Rattus norvegicus: one gene and its partners. The protein of the gene in region 1 purifies or fractionates together with the protein of each later gene. This does not show direct contact. Links are inferred from orthologs where the notes say so. Each region holds a gene or a part of one and is shown on either strand. Other genes may lie near its edges.

Region 1 (4,309 bases):
ACTTATATATGAATATTATCTATTCCAAGAAGTTTGAAATTAGGTCTGGAAAAGAGTTTTATTCAATATAGGTGGGGACGAAATAACGAGCGGGATTAAGATGACAAATATCTTTTGTGCATGGGAGTAGGTGTTTAGATTCTGTAGGATAGGACGAAAGACCTCAGTAGCTTCCATGACAGCCTGAGGCAGGATAAAGAAGCAACAAGAACAACGAACACTTTTCTCTTTGTAGCCCTGGCTGATCTGGAACTCGCTCTGTAGATCAGGCGGCCTTGAACTCAGAGATCTGCTTGCCTTTGCCTCCCCAGTGCTGGGATTAAAGGCGTGCATCACCACGCCTAGTAAACACTTCTGGAGACAAACGTGCATTTTTGTTTGATGTAAAAAACACGCTCTCATTTGTCTTCATCTGTTGCCATTCGTGTTCTCACAGGGCAGCGCGTCTTCTGGCCTAACCTGAAGTTCACAAACGCCGAGATAGACCGAACTCTCTAAGGGGAGCTGACCGATGCAGCGAACACAGAGTTTAATTCTGAGGAGATTTTTCTTCTCAGGCGTCCAACGTCACTTAACGTCACGCTAGTGAGCGAAGGCGGTAGGACGACGAAGGCCAGCCCAGGCCTCTGCTCCACGCCTAACAGTCGCCAGGCAGTCGCGCCGTTCCCAAGCGGGCCTCTCTAGCCGGCGGGAGACAGCGAGCGGAGCCGTTACGGGAGCGCCGAAGAGCCAGCTCGCGTCACACGAAGGAGCGAACGCGCAAACCTCCGCCGACGCGCCTCCTCGAGGCCCCGCCCACTCGCCTTCCACAACCCGCTGGCGGCCCGGAGGAGGCGGAGTCTAGGAGGAACAGGCGCATGCGCCCTCGCAACCCGGCCCTCGAAGGGGGAACTAGCGATCTCGCGAGGGTTGAGAGCGGGTGGCGTAGGTCGCTGTCTGGTTGGTTGGAGAAGATAATCTACTCCGGTAGAGGAGAAGGCGCCGGGAGACCTCTGAGTACCTTTCGCTTTCCTTTCCCTTTCCCTCGGCCCTCCGCCTCCTCACAGTCAGCCCGCCCTCCCTGACCTCCTTGACCCCGCTGGCCCCGCCCACCCTCGTCGACGTGATTCCCGCCGTGAGGTAAACGCCAGTGGAGCGGAGTCCCGCGGAAGAGGAGGACTAGGCGAGCGTCGCGGCTGGGCCGGCTCTGGTCGGTGGCGGAGCCCCTGCGCGTGAGAGCTTCCGGGCGGGTCTCGCTCCTCCGGCGGCCCGGACGCTAGAGCCGCGCAGGCCCAGGCCGCTTTCCTCGGCGCCGCGCCTGCCCGTGGCCGCGGCGGGTGACGCAGCCGGAACATGTCGTCCACGGCTGAGCCTCCGCCGCCCCCGCCTCCCGAGAGCGCGCCTTCCAAGCCCTCGGCGGCGGGCGCCGGCGGGAGCAGCAGCGGCAACAAAGGCGGCCCGGAGGGCGGCGCGGCGCCGGCGGCTCCGAGCGCCACAGGCGCGGGTCCCGCGGACACCGAGATGGAGGTGAGCGCGGCCGGGGCGTGGGGTAGGGAGATGGATGCTCTGCTGGCGCGTCTCCCGCACTTCACCTTTACGTTTTCCCCCTCGGTGTAGCTAGCCTAGCCAGATCGCGGATCGCTCTTACGAAACACATGTTCCTGATTACTGTGGCCGAAGGGACCCGTTTCCTCTATCGCTAGGCTCCCCCAGAACTCGCTCGGGTTCCTCCGATTTAGGTTTTAGTTTGCACTAAACTTTGAGGAGGGCGAGGGAAATGCCCCTCCGGAGTGGGATTCCCGGGGCGAGGGCGACGTTTCCCAGCGTCGCAGCTGAGGACTTGCGCCTCCAGTGCCTCATCCCGTGCTGGCGGGGGCGGCATCAGTCTGTTCTGGGCAGAAACAATGGCGAGAACTGGAGGGCCGAATGCGCAGTGGGGATAAGCGGGGCGCAGCTGCTTCTGTGCAGCGAGGGGAGGCCCCTCCTGGGCCCTGCTCCACTGGGAGGAGAGCGAGCATGACAGCCGCAGCACCTGTCTTGGTTCCCCATCCAATTAGGGGTGTATGCGTGGAAAACTGAATGAATGGGAGCATCGGGGGAGGGTGATGGGCTCCTAGCCCAGTACGTTGCTTCCTTTTGAAGCCATTTGGAGGAATCGCTGTTGAACCACCTTCTCAGGGCTCTAGTGGGCCAGATGATGGTGACAATACTGGAGGAAGCAGGGAAAGGGTGGAAAATGGGGGAGCTGCCAGGCAGGTCTCTTGGATATGCTCCCAGGCTTTGAGTTGCCTGGAAACCAAGTTATTGCTCCCAATTTTTATTCTTGGCCTTGGTCTTGTTTTGAGGTGTTATTATTATTTGAGGTTCCAGTCTGAAGATTCCTGGGAATTTAATCCTCAGATTGGAAGTAATACAATAAAAATGAACCTTAGCATAGAATTTACACTCTAAGGAGATGATGGTGCAGTGTGCTTACTTTTATTGGGCAGCTTGGGTGAAATATTGTTAATCTTCGAAACAACTTTTCCTGGGGAAGGTAGGTGCTGGTGTAGTGCACCAATTTGAAGTGAATGCAATTTCAGTTTAAAAATGTATTTGATGCTCCCCCTATGGTTTTAAATGGTTTTTAGAGTTTCTAGGGTTGTTTAACTTGGATTCTTATATTTCTGTTCCATGAAATAAAGGAATCTGGTGGCTCAGGCCTTTTAATCCCAGAACTTGAGGCAGAGGCAGAGGTATCTCGTGAGTTTGAGGCCAGCCTTGTGTACAGAGCTAATTCCAGGACAGCCAGGGCTACACAGAGAAATCCTGTCTCAAAAAACCAAAACAATAAGAATAAACAAGTAGGAACTATGACATAAACAGAAAAGGAGTGAAGAATAAGATTGAGAAAAAATAGAAACTATTGGTATTTCTATACTGAGAAGACCCAGTTTACTCGTCTGGTTAATGGAAATACCACTTATTTGGGCTTTTCACATTTATGTTCATATTTACATTTTAATTGAAAAACAGCAACTCAAGAATTAAAGAATTTCATTGGGGTTTAAATTCTCCTGGTTATTTTATTCCCTCTTAAGACAGTTACCTTCAGACTGCTTTTCATTGTCTTAACTGAATTTAGAATCAGAACTAGGTTTGAGTTGAGTATGTCTAATGTATTTGAGGACCTTAGGTATGTTTTACAGTTGGAAAAAAAGACTGAATTATAGACGTAACATCTGCAGTTGGAAAACACACATTATTATTGTAAGGTGTACTTTTCCTTGAATGTGTGCTACAAGAATTTTTCTATAAGTTAGAGCTGGAGGTTTTGTCATTTTGCTTGTGGCATTTGAATGTCAAGATGCTTTTTAAGAATAGAATATTATTAACTGGGAGTCAGACTAAGGGTATGCTATGTAAGCTCCTTTTTTGGGTAATGTCCTAGATAGTGGAAATTAGGATCTAATGCTTCCTTCTATGTATACATTTGTATAAAATAACACAGTAGATAGATGGAGTTTTATGATATAAAGAGAACTTTGTTCACATTCATGTTACCTAATTTGTATTTATAATTTTATTTGAAAAGATACAGATTTGCCCGTATGGCTTGTATAAAAAGTAATTTTGTTTTAGGGTGTTATTGATACTAATTTTATCATAGCAGATCTTAATACAGTTTATAATTGGGAAAAGTGATTATCCCCATAGTATTTTATTTTCATCCATATTAAGTTTCATTCCAGGTTATCTGATAGCCAGTAAATATCTAGGGAGTTTGGAGCAAGAGTATATTATTTAGAATGATTTTTTTTTTTGAAAGAAATGAGTGTATGATAGTGAGTAGACAATCCTTAAACAATTTGATGAATTTCCTTTCCTACCAGGAAGTATTTGATGATGGATCACCTGGAAAGCAAAAAGAAATCCAAGAACCTGATCCTACATATGAAGAAAAAATGGTATGTTCTAGACATGTGAATGGTTTTAATGAACTTTTTTCTCAGGATAATTAAATCTACTAAACATCTGTATTTACTTAGATGCTTTTAGAATGTCAACAAAACAGCTTTTTTTTTTTTGTAATTATAGAGTGGTATTCTGTTGACAGAACAATTATCCTTGTATAAGCTGCAACAGAGACAAAACTGAAAACCCAAAAAACTACCAGTCCACATATATAACTAATTTGTGCTATGTATCAGATACAAGAGCCTGTTTTAAATTTCCATGCCACTTTATAATCCCCAGGCTGTTCCAGGCAAGGTTAGTGGCTATTGAAAACACTACAGGACAAGGCTGTCTAAAGACACCTTTGGTAGTGTGGTAACTGTACAGGGCACTG
Region 2 (3,997 bases), on another chromosome or scaffold:
CTCTCAGAGCATATTCCCTTAGCCTGGGCAGGTCTCCACCCCCACCCGGACACACGTCCCAGAGTCTCCAGGCTCTTGCCCCATCCCCCCAGCCTCCTAGCCACATTGTGAGCACTCGCGCCCCGCAGCCGTGCTCGGGCGAGGGCAGTCACAGGGCTCAAAGCCAGTCCCCTCTAGGGCTGCTGCACGTGTCCGTTCCCTGGGGTGGGGGAAATTGCTCTTCCCGCTAGGCTGCTGATTGGTGCCTCCCCCCGTACTCCACCCTTCCCGCCACACTCTCCCCTCCATCCTACTTGGTTCCAGCCTAACCAGCCCCACCACCTCCATCCCTTGGAGGGGCGAGGCACTTTAGCGCTCCCTGAAGTACGGTTCTCAGATGGAATTAAAAAAAAAAAACCAAACCAAACCAAACCAAAACCAAAACAAGCGCTAAAGAACAGGTGGAAAGCGCGTCGTTTCCCCGGGCCTCCGGTTCCCAGCGTGGACGGCCCACTCGCTCTCCTGCACCGCCCTCCACGGCAGTAATAACTGAAATCCCACACGTGCGCACTCCCGGAGCTAGTCCCCAGCGAGAGCACCACCCCGCGGGCCCTTTAAAAGGACTCGACCACTGAGGCCACGTGGGGGTGGGAGAGACCCTTATTGTCTTCCGTCACCAAAGTCGCCCAACTCCCCGGCCCCAAACACCTGCACCTCAGAGCGCCGCTCCCACCCGCCCGCGGGCTGCGCGCGGGCCCCTCCGCGTCACGCGCAGCCCCTCCCGGGGCGCGGCCGGCCCGCTCCCCCTCCCCCTTCCTCAGTGCAGCTGTCCGCGCAGGGGTGGGGGCGGGGTTGTTGTTGTGGTGCGCGCCGGCCCCGCCCCCTCCTCGTGGGCGGCCCCTCCCCCAGGCTTCTGCCGGGCCCCCTCCCCACCCCCAGCCCCATCTGTTTTCCTCAGCGCTGAGTGGATTATATTGTATGGGATTGGGGGCGGCCGCACGGCCGCGGCGGGACGGGGCGAGCGCGCAGCCCCCGCCGGCTGCCCGAGCAGCGGCCGCTTCAGCGACTCGGCCCGCCGCCCCCCGCCCGGCGCGCCTCAGCTTGAGCTCACGCCGAGCGGCGGGAGCCGCCGCGCGCTGAGAGGCGCTGCCCGCGGCCGGAGTCCGAGCGAGCGAGCGAGCGAGCGAGAGGGCGGGCGAGCGAGCGCGGCGGGGAGATGTGCCCGGAGGAAGGCGGCGCGGCCGGGCTGGGCGAGCTCCGCTCCTGGTGGGAAGTCCCGGCCATCGCGCACTTCTGCTCGCTCTTTCGCACGGCGTTCCGCCTGCCGGACTTCGAGATCGAGGTGAGTAGCCGGCGCTGCGCCCTTTCTCCGCGCTTCTCTACGGGGAGTCGCGGGCCGCGGACTTGGCGCGGAGTGCGGCGGCGAGGGGCTCGGCGGCGGGCACGAGGCTGACGGCCGGCACGGGCTCCCCGCCGCCCCGCGCGTTCTCGCAGGCGGGGGTCGAGCCTGCTTTTGTCGGCGCGGGACCCGAGGGCTCTCCCGGGACTTCTCGGCCGGCCTGAGGGCGAGAGTGCGCGCGCGCTCCCCTCCGGAGCTCGGAGGCGGCGAGCAGCTGCTCAGGCGGGGACCGGGACGGGATGCGGGCTCACGCGCCGGGGGCCACAGCGGCCGGGCGGGAGCGGCCTTGGGCAGGGGCGGCGTTGCTCGGGAGACGCTCGCCCGGGTCGCACTTGGCCGACTTGCGGAGGCCCGTAACTCTCGGGCGCTTCGAGTCAACTTCGGGCGGGCGCAGATGGGGCCTGAGCTTGGGGCGTTCTCCTTGTGGGACCGCCCGTCGCTCACTGTCGCTCACCGTCGCTCGGGACGCCGAGGCTGTGGAGAGAAAGTTTTGGGGTTCTCCCCTTTTAAAAACAGCTCCTCTTCTGAGGAACGTGCAGCCTTTCGTATTCGGGGAGCTCTCTCTTCCAGTTCATTTCGCCACCATTATTCCCCCGGGCGAGCGAGGAGGAAAGAAATGGCTTTCTGGCCAGGCCGAAGGTGCTTTTTCAAGACCCGAGGCTTTGTGATAACTTGACTAAAATCGGAGGGTCCTAATGACAAGGACGGTGGCGGGAGTGTGGGAAACGGAATGTATAAGATGGTCCAAAGCAGCATCCCTGCTTTTATATTTGGAAGGAGTTGTGAAATATATGATTGGTTGGCAGGCTGAGTTGCTTTCTTTTATGGTAGTCTGTGGAGTGACTTAACCACCTTTTTTCCTTGGGACAAAGGTACACGGAACTGTTGTTGGTCAGTTACAGTTTTCAGTTTTGTGGATGCCTTTACAACTGAAATAATCAAAATTAAAATAATTTATTTGGGGATTCTGGCCATTGTGGTTGCCTCTCCACCCCCACGAATCTTGATTTTAATTTGTTGACTCCTGAGGTCTTTACTCACCTTTATTTTTAAGTCCGTTGTGTTTGCAGAAATATCACTTGCTTCTACTATGAATGAAGCGTGGGAACTTAACTCTTGTTGCAAAGTTAACGAAATTGGAAAACTAAAACGATCACAAGGGTTGGGACAGGAGAATGAAGAGGAATGTGGGCTGAGATTGGGGCTGTTCGTTGACTTTTGGAGGTATTTTAAAACAATGTGAAAAGGTTGGTAAGATTTTCCAGGTCCTGGGCATCTCCAGGGTTTAGGAAAATGTAACTTGGCAATTTAACGCAACCTCAAATCGTTTATTTACAAAGTTTGAATATGAATGTAACGAACACTTCTGTGATGAAATTTTGTAATGAAGTCGGACTACAAAGATTAACGATTTCAGGAATCGTAAAGGGGAAGAGATGATTAATGATTCTGATGTCCTGTGTTTCCTTTTAGTTAGTTTGAAATCTCGAGTAGTTTAATTAAATCCTGCTGTTCAAAATGGTGGCTGCCGTGTGTGTGTGTGTGTGTGTGTGTGTGTGTGTGTGTGTGTGTGTGTGTGGTGTTTCTTGTGACAGTTGCCATCTTGGGTGCTGATAAACTTGTCCCAATCCATTTTCTTTTAAGAGGAAGTAAGTTGATGTGTGGATTACAAATTGAGTGTATTTGAAAACGCTATTGTTGGAAAAAATGTCACTTTTCCAAGTTCTTATATTCCCATTTTGTTGATAAAAAGTAGAGGAAACTCATTTTGTCTTAATTATACTCAACATATTTAAAGTTAACCTCTAATTTCTATCCTTAAGTAGTAAACTTCAGGTTCTCAGTGTTTGTTGGCCTAATTCCTCTACTAAAAGTAAGCTGTTATTGTCCTTTACAGGGTGAATAATCAGGTCTACTTGACATGGTGTCTTTTAATTCTAGTGGTTAAGAAAAAATTATGCTGTGTGGGCGTGCATGCGTCAGGGAGTGCTTGTGGAGGCTCAGGACAATTTGAGGGAATTTGTTCTCTCCTTCCGTGGTGAGAGCCCCAGGAATCAAACTTGGGTGGTCAGGCTTAGCACCAGTTTCCTTCACAGGGAGCCATCTCTCCTAAGTGTTTCTAGAAAGATGCACTTTGTCACTTAAAGTGTGCTTGTTACTTGGAAAAACATTCAACACATTAATATCCTGATTCCAACATGTGCATACCTTAAATACTAACAACCCTTTCTCCCTTCTGCTATGGAGATGATCAATAAATGTGTAACAAATGATAATGATTTTCTCCTCCTGAATTTCCTATATTTTATTTAGTGTTTTGAGTAGTTACTGAAAGATGAAAAATATCTAGAATTCTAATTCTCTAAGAAATTTGACTTTGACCCATCAACAATGTAGAATTCCCCAAAGATGCCATCAGTAAATTTGTTTTTTTTCCCCCTTATGTGATTTGAAAAACATCAACTAGTTTATGGGTTAGGTCTTACAGAACAGTGTTAGACCTTGTCTTAAAGTAAAATATACCAGTACCAAGCTGTATGTACCTGGTAGGCACATGGAAAGACCACGTAGCCCTGGTTCCACTTGAAAAGCTAGAAATGAGGACTATAGATTACAAAA
Region 3 (4,229 bases), about 31 Mb from region 1:
AGGCCAGCCTGATTGACATAATGAATTCCAGGACTATTTAGAGAGAATCTCTCAAACAAAACAAGGGCAATATTCTCACTAGTTCAAAAACGATGAGTTTATTAGAAAGCCATACAGGTCCCCTTGGCTTTCACAGGCTGATACTAGGTAAAACAATTTTAGACTGAAGTTTCAGGCTTTTCATGCCAGATGAATTTTGGCATAGAATTCTTGAGAAATAATGCCCTCTTCCTTCCCAGTCCAACAACATCCATATTTAGTCTCATGATACAGCCACTAAAAGTGTATTGGTCAAACACCAATACACTTTTAAACGTAAGTAAAGGCAGGCTCAGAGACTCATAAACAGGTTTTCCTCCTTGAGAACATTAAAACTGATGAGACAGAATTAATCAGTATCTTACTGGTGTGGGAGCTGACTGAACTTTTTACTAGGTATGAAAAGTTATTTCCTGACTGCTGTGAAAAACTAGTAGATTTTTAAAAATGGTTTGGAAAAGTAAAATCAGGGAATGTTCCTTAAGGCAGGTCAACACAGATGTGCAGGCTTTTTGTATTAGGGTCATACCTGCTACTACTGGAACTTTCTCAAAACAAAGACCAGATGCTCATGGGAAGAGTGAGTGAGCCCTGAACACAAGTCCAGGTCACCAATATGTAGGGAAGTCCAGAAACCGAGAACTACTATGGACTAGTCACAGGCCGGGCAGATTGGCGGGCCCTGAATGGTGGCTCAGGGTTCCATGGTAGCTGACTCATAAGACAGTACCAGGGGAAAAAGGTCTCAAGCAGCAGTGTGAAAGAAAGCAGAGTTCAGGAACATTTATACAAGATTAGATAAACACCAATTAAATTGAGGACTCCGGGGTAGGAAGTAAACTGGGAGGGTTAATGAAGATGAAAAATTTAGGTTTGATTTTCACATCAGAAAACTACATCAAATGTTGGCAACATAAAACAGGCGCCAAAATCCATTCTCTCGAATTCCATAATTTTGGAGTTTACAAAATTCAATGTTGTCAACTTCTTGGATCAGGATAATCTTACAGTTAGTGTTTGTCTTGGTGTGCAAAGACATGACAGCATAGAAAAGCTCATTCATTGTTTAATACTGTTTACGTCATTATATATAGAAAGCGAATGCTTAGAAAACGTGAACACGGTGGCTGGGCTCTTCCAAGGCTTTTCTTCAGGGTATGGGAAAGGAGAAGCAGGCTCTTAATTCCACTTGACAGTAAAACTGCAGGTCAACCTTCAGCACAGGCTTTTGGGATAACCAAGTAATTATGAAAAAAGTTAAAATCTTCAAAGGTAGAATTTTGTTATTTTGGAAATTCAAAGTGTTAACTATAAAAAAAAAGTTTCAGAAAATGAGTTTTTTGGAGGTAATCTCTATTCCAGCAATCGCTAACAGTATCATCATCATCATCATCATCCCAGAACAGATTGGAGAATTGAGAAAGAAAATCCACCTAGTAAACTGGGCAAGGAAGGTCTCTGTCCTCCAGATGGGGGTTTCCCCCAAGGCTGTTTCTAGGAACTCAGATTGCCAGTCCACGCAGTCAAAGGAAGAAACACTTCCAGATGTCCACAGATTCTGATATTTTGTTGCTACTTCTACCGTAGCACAGGTGAATTCTTGTTTCAGTGGGTTTCCTTCCTTATCCGATCTCCTGGAGTTCTTCTCGCCACACCCTTTTCCAAGGACCTACCTAAGCAGCACTCCAGCCCCTGCCAGCTTCGGAACTTGCAGAGATCTCTACAGCCAGAAACGCGCACTGAATCTTCTCGTTGCAATGCTAATAAGTGTAATCACGACCACAGCACAGATTGGCTAATAACACACTCGGTTCCACGAAACCTGCGATCCAAATTTTGACAAGCCATGCGTAATCAACAGGCTTTACTTTGGATGCAGTTTTTAAAAAAATTTATTTTGCTACAAGGGAATAGAATCAGCCAGTACTAGAAACAAGGGTAGGGTGGGCGGTAGACATATCTTGTCTGATGTATGATATAAACTAAAGTGAATCTACAAGTAGTGGTTGTGGAGGGGGAAATGGGCCTGTATGGAGATGACTCCACTTAAGACATGTTCAAACTGAGTCGCACGCAAAGAACACACACAATACGAGATTGTTTATCCACACAGTCCCCAAGACCACCGTTCCCGGGGTCCCCGATTTGTTAACCTCGGCAGGTCTGCTGCAACCGCTAGTTCAACAAAGCTCTGCGCAGCTCAGGGAGCTCCGCGCATCCTCTCCCGCTCGCCGCGCGCCCAGCCCTCCCGCCCGTCGGCCCGGGACCTCTCCTCCTGACAGCCCCAGGTAACCCGCGCCTGGGGTCCCCAGCCGCGCTCCTCCCGACCCGAGTTCCCGCGTCCCGTCGGCCTCCGGCGCCCCGGAGCGCACAGACGGCGGCGCAGGGGGAGGGGCGGCGCGGGCCGCGGGTCCCTGGGGCGGCCGCACGCCCCCTCCCGGCCCCGCAGCTTTCCCGCCTTCCCGGTTTGAACAGCTCCCGCCGCCTTCCTCCTGCGGCCCGCTCCAGCCCCTTCCCCGGGGCGGCTGCGGCCGCTACTCCAGTTCCCGGCTTGGCCCCTGAGCTAGGCCGCGGCGGGCCTGAAGAGCCTCCGGGACGGTGTCGGGGGGCCGGAGCGGTGGGCGGAGGCCGGGCAGGGCCGTTGCCGCCCCGGGGTGGGGGTCCGGCTGGGTCTGGTGGGGGCTCCGCTCGCCGCTACCTTCACTCGGCTCGCTCGGATCCCGCCTCAGCGCCGCCGACCGCCGCCATCTTGGAGAAGGAGAGAAAAGCGCGAGCAACCAGGGAGCCTCAGTCGAGCCCAGAGCGCAGACTCCTACCGCGGTGCTACGGCGCCAGCGAAAGAGCGTCGAGCGCATCGAATAGCTTGCTGAGCGCGGTCGCGGTACCTTTTGAGGATACACCACTCCTTGCCAGGTTTAGTCTAAAAATCTCTTCTCGACCTAAACAAATAATTGCCCAAGTTTTCTGACTATTCCTGAATTAAAAAAAAAATCCTTTCTGCAAAGAAATCGCAAATAAAAAATGTCAGGCAAGCAGATTAATGTAGCCAAACACCTGCCCCAACCCAGAGTCTTCACAGGTCCGTGAACTATGCAATTAGAACAGAAGTTCTGAAACTGTGGAACTTCACTTTGGATTTTACACGTTCACTGTCAACTACATTTTTATGTACTTATCTACCACGTACACATACAAGCCCGGAAAACTCCATGGAAAACTTAGAATTAGAAAAACAATTAGCTTTGTATTCTCTTTTACGAACTCATGGGTCCTTCTCTGCATTCTCTGTTCTTTCTGGTCACCTAATAGTAGCCCTTCTTGTTCTCTTTTTACCCCTAAGTCTTCAGTATTTAAGGCAGAATATTATGATGTGTATTTCAAGACAGTCTGTTCTTTGCTGGATTCAGAGTGATGAGGATTAATAGCAGTGTGTATTTGTAATTTAGCATCTACATCTGGATAGCATCCCCGGTGAGGTGGAAGATACGCTGTTTTCTCACCAAATCACTACATTTCTATTGCTCACACACATTTTTGTTTAAGTGTTAAGAGGACTGGCGAATTGGTTCAGTGGGTTAAAGTATTTTACACCAAACCTCTGGGTATGTGTTTGACACCGGAAGCCTACATGGTGGAAAGAGAGAACTGATTCATACAAGTTTGACTGCCACAGGAATGCCCCCCTACAAACACACAAAAAAGAAATAAATAAAAGTTACTCTTTCTCTAAGAAACAGGAGGAAACACAGTTTCTTCTGGTTTGCTGAGGAGAACTTAGACCAGTAAGCATTTGCAATGTCCTGAGCCTGGTTTAATATAAAGACCCTGTTCTTGTAGCCTAGTGTAAGTATATAATAGCCTTCCATGTGAACAGTGCACACTCGATCAGAGCAACCAGAAGCTGGTCCCTTGTTACTAAAAGACCCAGCCTTCATCTGTACTGCTAACAGCACTGCTATAGGGAGGAAGTTCTTTTTTTTTTTTTTTGCTTTGTCAAAGTCACAGGACTTAGGTGTTTTGGGGAAGTATTGTGGATGGAGGAAGGGGCAACCCTGGCTGTCCTGGAGCTCATTATGTAGACAAGGCTTGTCTGAAACTCACAGAAATCCTCCTGCCTCTGCCTCCTGAATGCTGAGATTAGAAGCGTGAACTATTAATTTCTTTATTTATTATATATGAGCACACTGTAA
Region 4 (4,170 bases), on another chromosome or scaffold:
GGGGTTAGTGGCACCCCAGCTTCCTAAAACAGACCTTTTCTTGTCTGCCTCACTTGTGTGACAGGTAGCAAGTAAGAGACAGACAAAACTCATCTTGTTCTAGTGGCTTTCCTTTGCTTCAGATCTGAGAACAAATACCACTTTTCAGAGGCCAGCCTATCACACAGGATGACACTTCCCATTGGAAATGATATTCTTTCTCAGTACATCTGGGTGAACATAGTCTTGAAGGCAGGCAGCATGGCTACCTTGCTCACTGACTGTGCCTCTTTAAGCCTGACACTAACACTGAGCATGCGTTCTACATCTATGGTCTTAACCAACCTGAGATACAAAGTATCCAGGAAGAGAAATCGTCCCTGCTGATTGGACATGTAGAAATCTCTTATCACTGTTCCCTAACAGTCCAGCAACTATTCAGATGGCATTCACAAAGTACTTATCAAGGGTACCCAGATGTAGGCCTTATATGAGAATGTGCCTAGGCTCTATGCAGCTACCTTATGCATTTAAAACACTTAAGCATGTACAATTTCAGTATGTGTGGGGATCTTAGAACCAATCCCCCATAGATACCGGGGGACAGTTGTATTTTATTATTGGACTAGGATACACTATGGTAAAGAAAGCTGAAACCAAATGTGATCCAACCTCTAACATTCTGCCAGCCTCCAACTATATTTAGTGCCAATTTACGAGTTTTTGACCTCTTCAGACTGCATTAACTTTATTTTCCCAAGTTCACTCCACGAATTTCATGTAGGTAGAATTTCAGTCTGGTAGTGTCATCTGCCATGGTGTCCCACTTTCTGATATTCTTCGACACTGCCCTCTGGACCACTACTTGATAGGATGTTTCTAATCGTCTTCATTCTACCTTGTCTCTGCATTCTATTCCTTAAGACACGGTCCATCTTCTTCAACAAGAGCTTGTGGGGCTAAACTGGCCTAGAACTCTTGGTGATTCTTTTGGTTTTGTGGTGGGACTACAGAAGACTCAAGGACCATTTAGTTCACCTGCCTGCTTAAGAGGTTAATCCCCATAAGCTTCAAGACATGGGTAGGGTTGCCTTTTCTCCCTATTCCCCTGGCCAAACTGTTTGACAATAAGAGTGTGGCTCATGCTTGCTGGCTCCCTCCAGAACATGACCTCATAAGACATTTCTTTTATTTTTTTCAGCTTTTGAAAGGGCAGGTCTGTGCAGCTCGGGTCTTCCCGAAGTACTAAGACGCTTGAAAGCGCTTCTTCCGGGAGATTGCCGCAGCGTTTCCGAGGGGTTTTTCCTGGGCGCTGTCTCCCAGGCTTTCAGGCCACCGCGCTACACGGAGTCTGCGCAGGCGCGGCCGCGCGGGGCATCACGGGCCGCCCGGACGCGGAAGATGGCGGACTCGGTCGTGGGTAAGGACAAGTGCGGGGAACAGCGGCTCGTGTCGCTGCCCCTGTCCCGCATCCGAGTCATCATGAAGAGCTCTCCTGAGGTGTCGAGCATCAACCAGGAGGCACTAGTGCTCACGGCCAAGGCCACGGTGAGCGGCCAGCGGGGCGACGAGAGGGGCGGGCACGGGCACCAACCGCCCCTTGGGCTCCGCACACTCCTAGCCTTTGGTTGCCCTGCGGGAGCCGGGAGTCTTGGTCTCTCCCTGCGCCTGCGCATTACACACCCACTCTCCCGTGGTCTTAGCTCCGCCCACTGCGCCGCTCCCGCTGTCCTTTGCGCTGCTTTTGCTCTGCATCACTTCGCTCCCAGCGTTCTCTGCGTTCCGCCTACCGCGTCACTCCCGCCCTGCTTCGCACGCGTGAGGAGCTAAGTGCGGCTGCGCGAGTTGACCAGTGAGGAGGGCGTACTGTCTACTTCTTTTCTGTCGCTGACTTCCCGCAGAGTGATGCGAGGGTTCTCGAAGCATCCAGGACAGCTTGCAAGGATGTCTAGGGCTCTTCAGCCCTCAGGACTCTGGAGGTAGTCAGGTTTTAAGCAGACAACCGCTGGTCACAAGTTAGACTCTAGAGACAAATTATAACTGCACACCCCCCTCCAAACACATCACTTTGTTTCCTTATTTTTATATTTCAAGTCAGCTCTCAGTATTTCTCCTTACCTTGGAACCCTGTAGGCCAGGATTACCTCAAACTCAATCTGCTTGCCTCAGCCTACCAAGTGCTGCTGGAACCATACTCTGCTACCCTGGTCTTGGCCCTTCTGAGTACTGGGATGAGAATTTCCTGACACCACTCCTGGTTTAAAGTTTGGTCTTGTTTGTGGTAGACCGAGAACCTTACTGTTCTGAGACCCGACATGATTACTGTCTCTACATTCTTTTCCAGTCTCTGCTTCTAGAACATCAGTGCGTAGTATCTTTTACAATATTTTATAATATTGTAAAATTGTAATATTGTAAAATACTACAAAAGAAATACAAATCTTGTGACTACAACTGTCAACCTTAAGTTAGAGCCTGACAAAATACAGTTCCCCAGTTTCCTTGCATTGGTCCTCCAAAGCCAAATACAATGTTAGGATAACAGCCCCTTTTAGACAGTGGTGCATATTTACACGTAAACTGTACATGTCTCATTTCTAAGTCATCTCAGGATCATGGGATCAGGATTATTTGTGTGGTGCTGGGATTCACATTCTTTTGTAGGATTCTAGTGTTAGGACCTAAGCACTATGCAGACAGTTCTCTGATCACTTATTAGCTGAAATAATACTAAACCTTGGGGAAGGCTCAGTTTTACTTTCTGAGCATTGGGATCTCGTTAGTTCCACACCTAGAAGGTACTTGGGCAAAATGAGATGTCACCTTTCAGCCTGAGGTTGTTGGTTTTTATTATAGTTGTGAGTGAACAACTGACAAGGGATTCAAGTAGGCTGAAAATGTGTTCCTAAGACAGATAGGTGGCAGCTCACATCTGTAATAAAATCCTTTGCAAGCCAGATATAATTTGGTTGGTTGGTTTTCCTTTTATGGAGACATGGTTTCTCTGTGTAGCTCTGAGTGTCCTGGCACTCTGTAGACTAGGTTAGCCTTGAACACAGAGATAGGTCTGCCACTGCCCCTCAAGTGCTGGGATTAAAGGTATGTGCCACCATGCTCAGATAACGTTTTTGAATGGTCTTTTACTCCGTTTTGTGTAGGCTGGTAACACCTCCTTATAACCCCTCCCCCATCCTTTTCAGACAACAGCTCGTGTAGCCCAGGCTGGCCTTGAACTTGATATATAGCCAGAGCTGCCTTTGATTTCCTGTGCCTCCTACCTCTGCCTAAATGCTGATAAGTATATACCACAGCACCCCCCAAAACCACTTGTAAAATATTTTTCATATTTTTACAGTCATTTGTAAATATTTATATTATACACTTCAGCTCAGCTGGGAAATGCCTGCTGCTTCCTGACTGACACTCTTGCTTCCTTTCTGATTTCATGTTTCTGTCTCCTGTAAATTAATTCCCTGTCATTTAATTGAGGAACCAAGATAATGTGAAGTATTAATGGAATTTTAAGGTTGTAAACTGTGTGATTTCTTGTTGGTTTAGGAGCTCTTTGTTCAGTATCTAGCCACCTGTTCCTACAGACACGGCAGTGGCAAAGCCAAGAAAGCGCTGACATACAGTGACTTAGCCAGCGCTGCCGAGGATTCAGAGACACTTCAGTTTCTCGCAGGTACTTAATCTTTGGGACATTCTGGTTAAAAAACAAAGAACCCTTGTAGTGGGCTATTCTCCCCTCTATTGTTCTGCTCGGTGCCTCGGTTTATCTGATCTGGCACAGGGAGTTGTTACCAGCCTCCATTTGAGCCCACCAAGAAGCCAACAGTACACAGAAGGTGCATCCATGGCCAAGCAGACTCACTGAGAGCTGGCTGCTTGTCCTGTTCCCCTGCACGCCAAACAAAGCAGCGGGTGCATGCAGCCATGGGTCAGACTCTGACTAGAAAGAGCTTCAGTCTAGCCCAGGGGCCAGTTTAGCCTCTCAGCTAGCTTGAACAGTGTTCACAAAATCAGGCCATAGAAACATGTTTACCAGTGTGGAATGCCCAGGAAACAATGCCCATTTCTGTTATTCTTCACCTAGAAGCACACCTGGATTTCATCTTGTTTAGAAGGTTGTCTAGGGTTAAAGGTGGAAATAATACATTGTAAAACTTGAATCATTGTAGTCATAGTTTA

Evidence for each region.
Region 2: the proteins of Smarca5 (region 1) and Cecr2 purify together in Homo sapiens (affinity purification with mass spectrometry; 3 studies listed by BioGRID and IntAct, with this or other methods). This does not show direct contact. The link is inferred for Rattus norvegicus from reciprocal best matches to the Homo sapiens genes SMARCA5 and CECR2.
Region 3: the proteins of Smarca5 (region 1) and Hmgxb4 purify together in Homo sapiens (affinity purification with mass spectrometry; 3 studies listed by BioGRID and IntAct, with this or other methods). This does not show direct contact. The link is inferred for Rattus norvegicus from reciprocal best matches to the Homo sapiens genes SMARCA5 and HMGXB4.
Region 4: the proteins of Smarca5 (region 1) and Chrac1 fractionate together in Homo sapiens (co-fractionation; 5 studies listed by BioGRID and IntAct, with this or other methods). This does not show direct contact. The link is inferred for Rattus norvegicus from reciprocal best matches to the Homo sapiens genes SMARCA5 and CHRAC1.

Annotation. Positions count from the first base shown.
Region 1 is NC_086037.1:44,174,840-44,179,148, forward strand, and holds the start of Smarca5 (SWI/SNF-related matrix-associated actin-dependent regulator of chromatin subfamily A member 5), read left to right. Parts: upstream 1-1,500; coding exon 1,501-1,506; intron 1,507-3,851; coding exon 3,852-3,926; intron 3,927-4,309. UniProt on the Homo sapiens protein: ATPase that possesses intrinsic ATP-dependent nucleosome-remodeling activity.
Region 2 is NC_086022.1:155,561,594-155,565,590, forward strand, and holds the start of Cecr2 (cat eye syndrome critical region protein 2), read left to right. Parts: upstream 1-1,195; coding exon 1,196-1,321; intron 1,322-3,997. UniProt on the Homo sapiens protein: Regulatory subunit of the ATP-dependent CERF-1 and CERF-5 ISWI chromatin remodeling complexes, which form ordered nucleosome arrays on chromatin and facilitate access to DNA during DNA-templated processes such as DNA replication, transcription, and repair.
Region 3 is NC_086037.1:13,369,132-13,373,360, reverse strand, and holds the start of Hmgxb4 (HMG domain-containing protein 4), read right to left. Parts: upstream 2,803-4,229; 5' UTR 2,738-2,802; intron 2,220-2,737; exon of another isoform or gene 1-2,219. UniProt on the Homo sapiens protein: Negatively regulates Wnt/beta-catenin signaling during development.
Region 4 is NC_086025.1:106,900,685-106,904,854, forward strand, and holds the start of Chrac1 (chromatin accessibility complex protein 1), read left to right. Parts: upstream 1-1,368; 5' UTR 1,369-1,380; coding exon 1,381-1,527; exon of another isoform or gene 1,528-1,958; intron 1,959-3,537; coding exon 3,538-3,664; intron 3,665-4,170. UniProt on the Homo sapiens protein: Forms a complex with DNA polymerase epsilon subunit POLE3 and binds naked DNA, which is then incorporated into chromatin, aided by the nucleosome remodeling activity of ISWI/SNF2H and ACF1.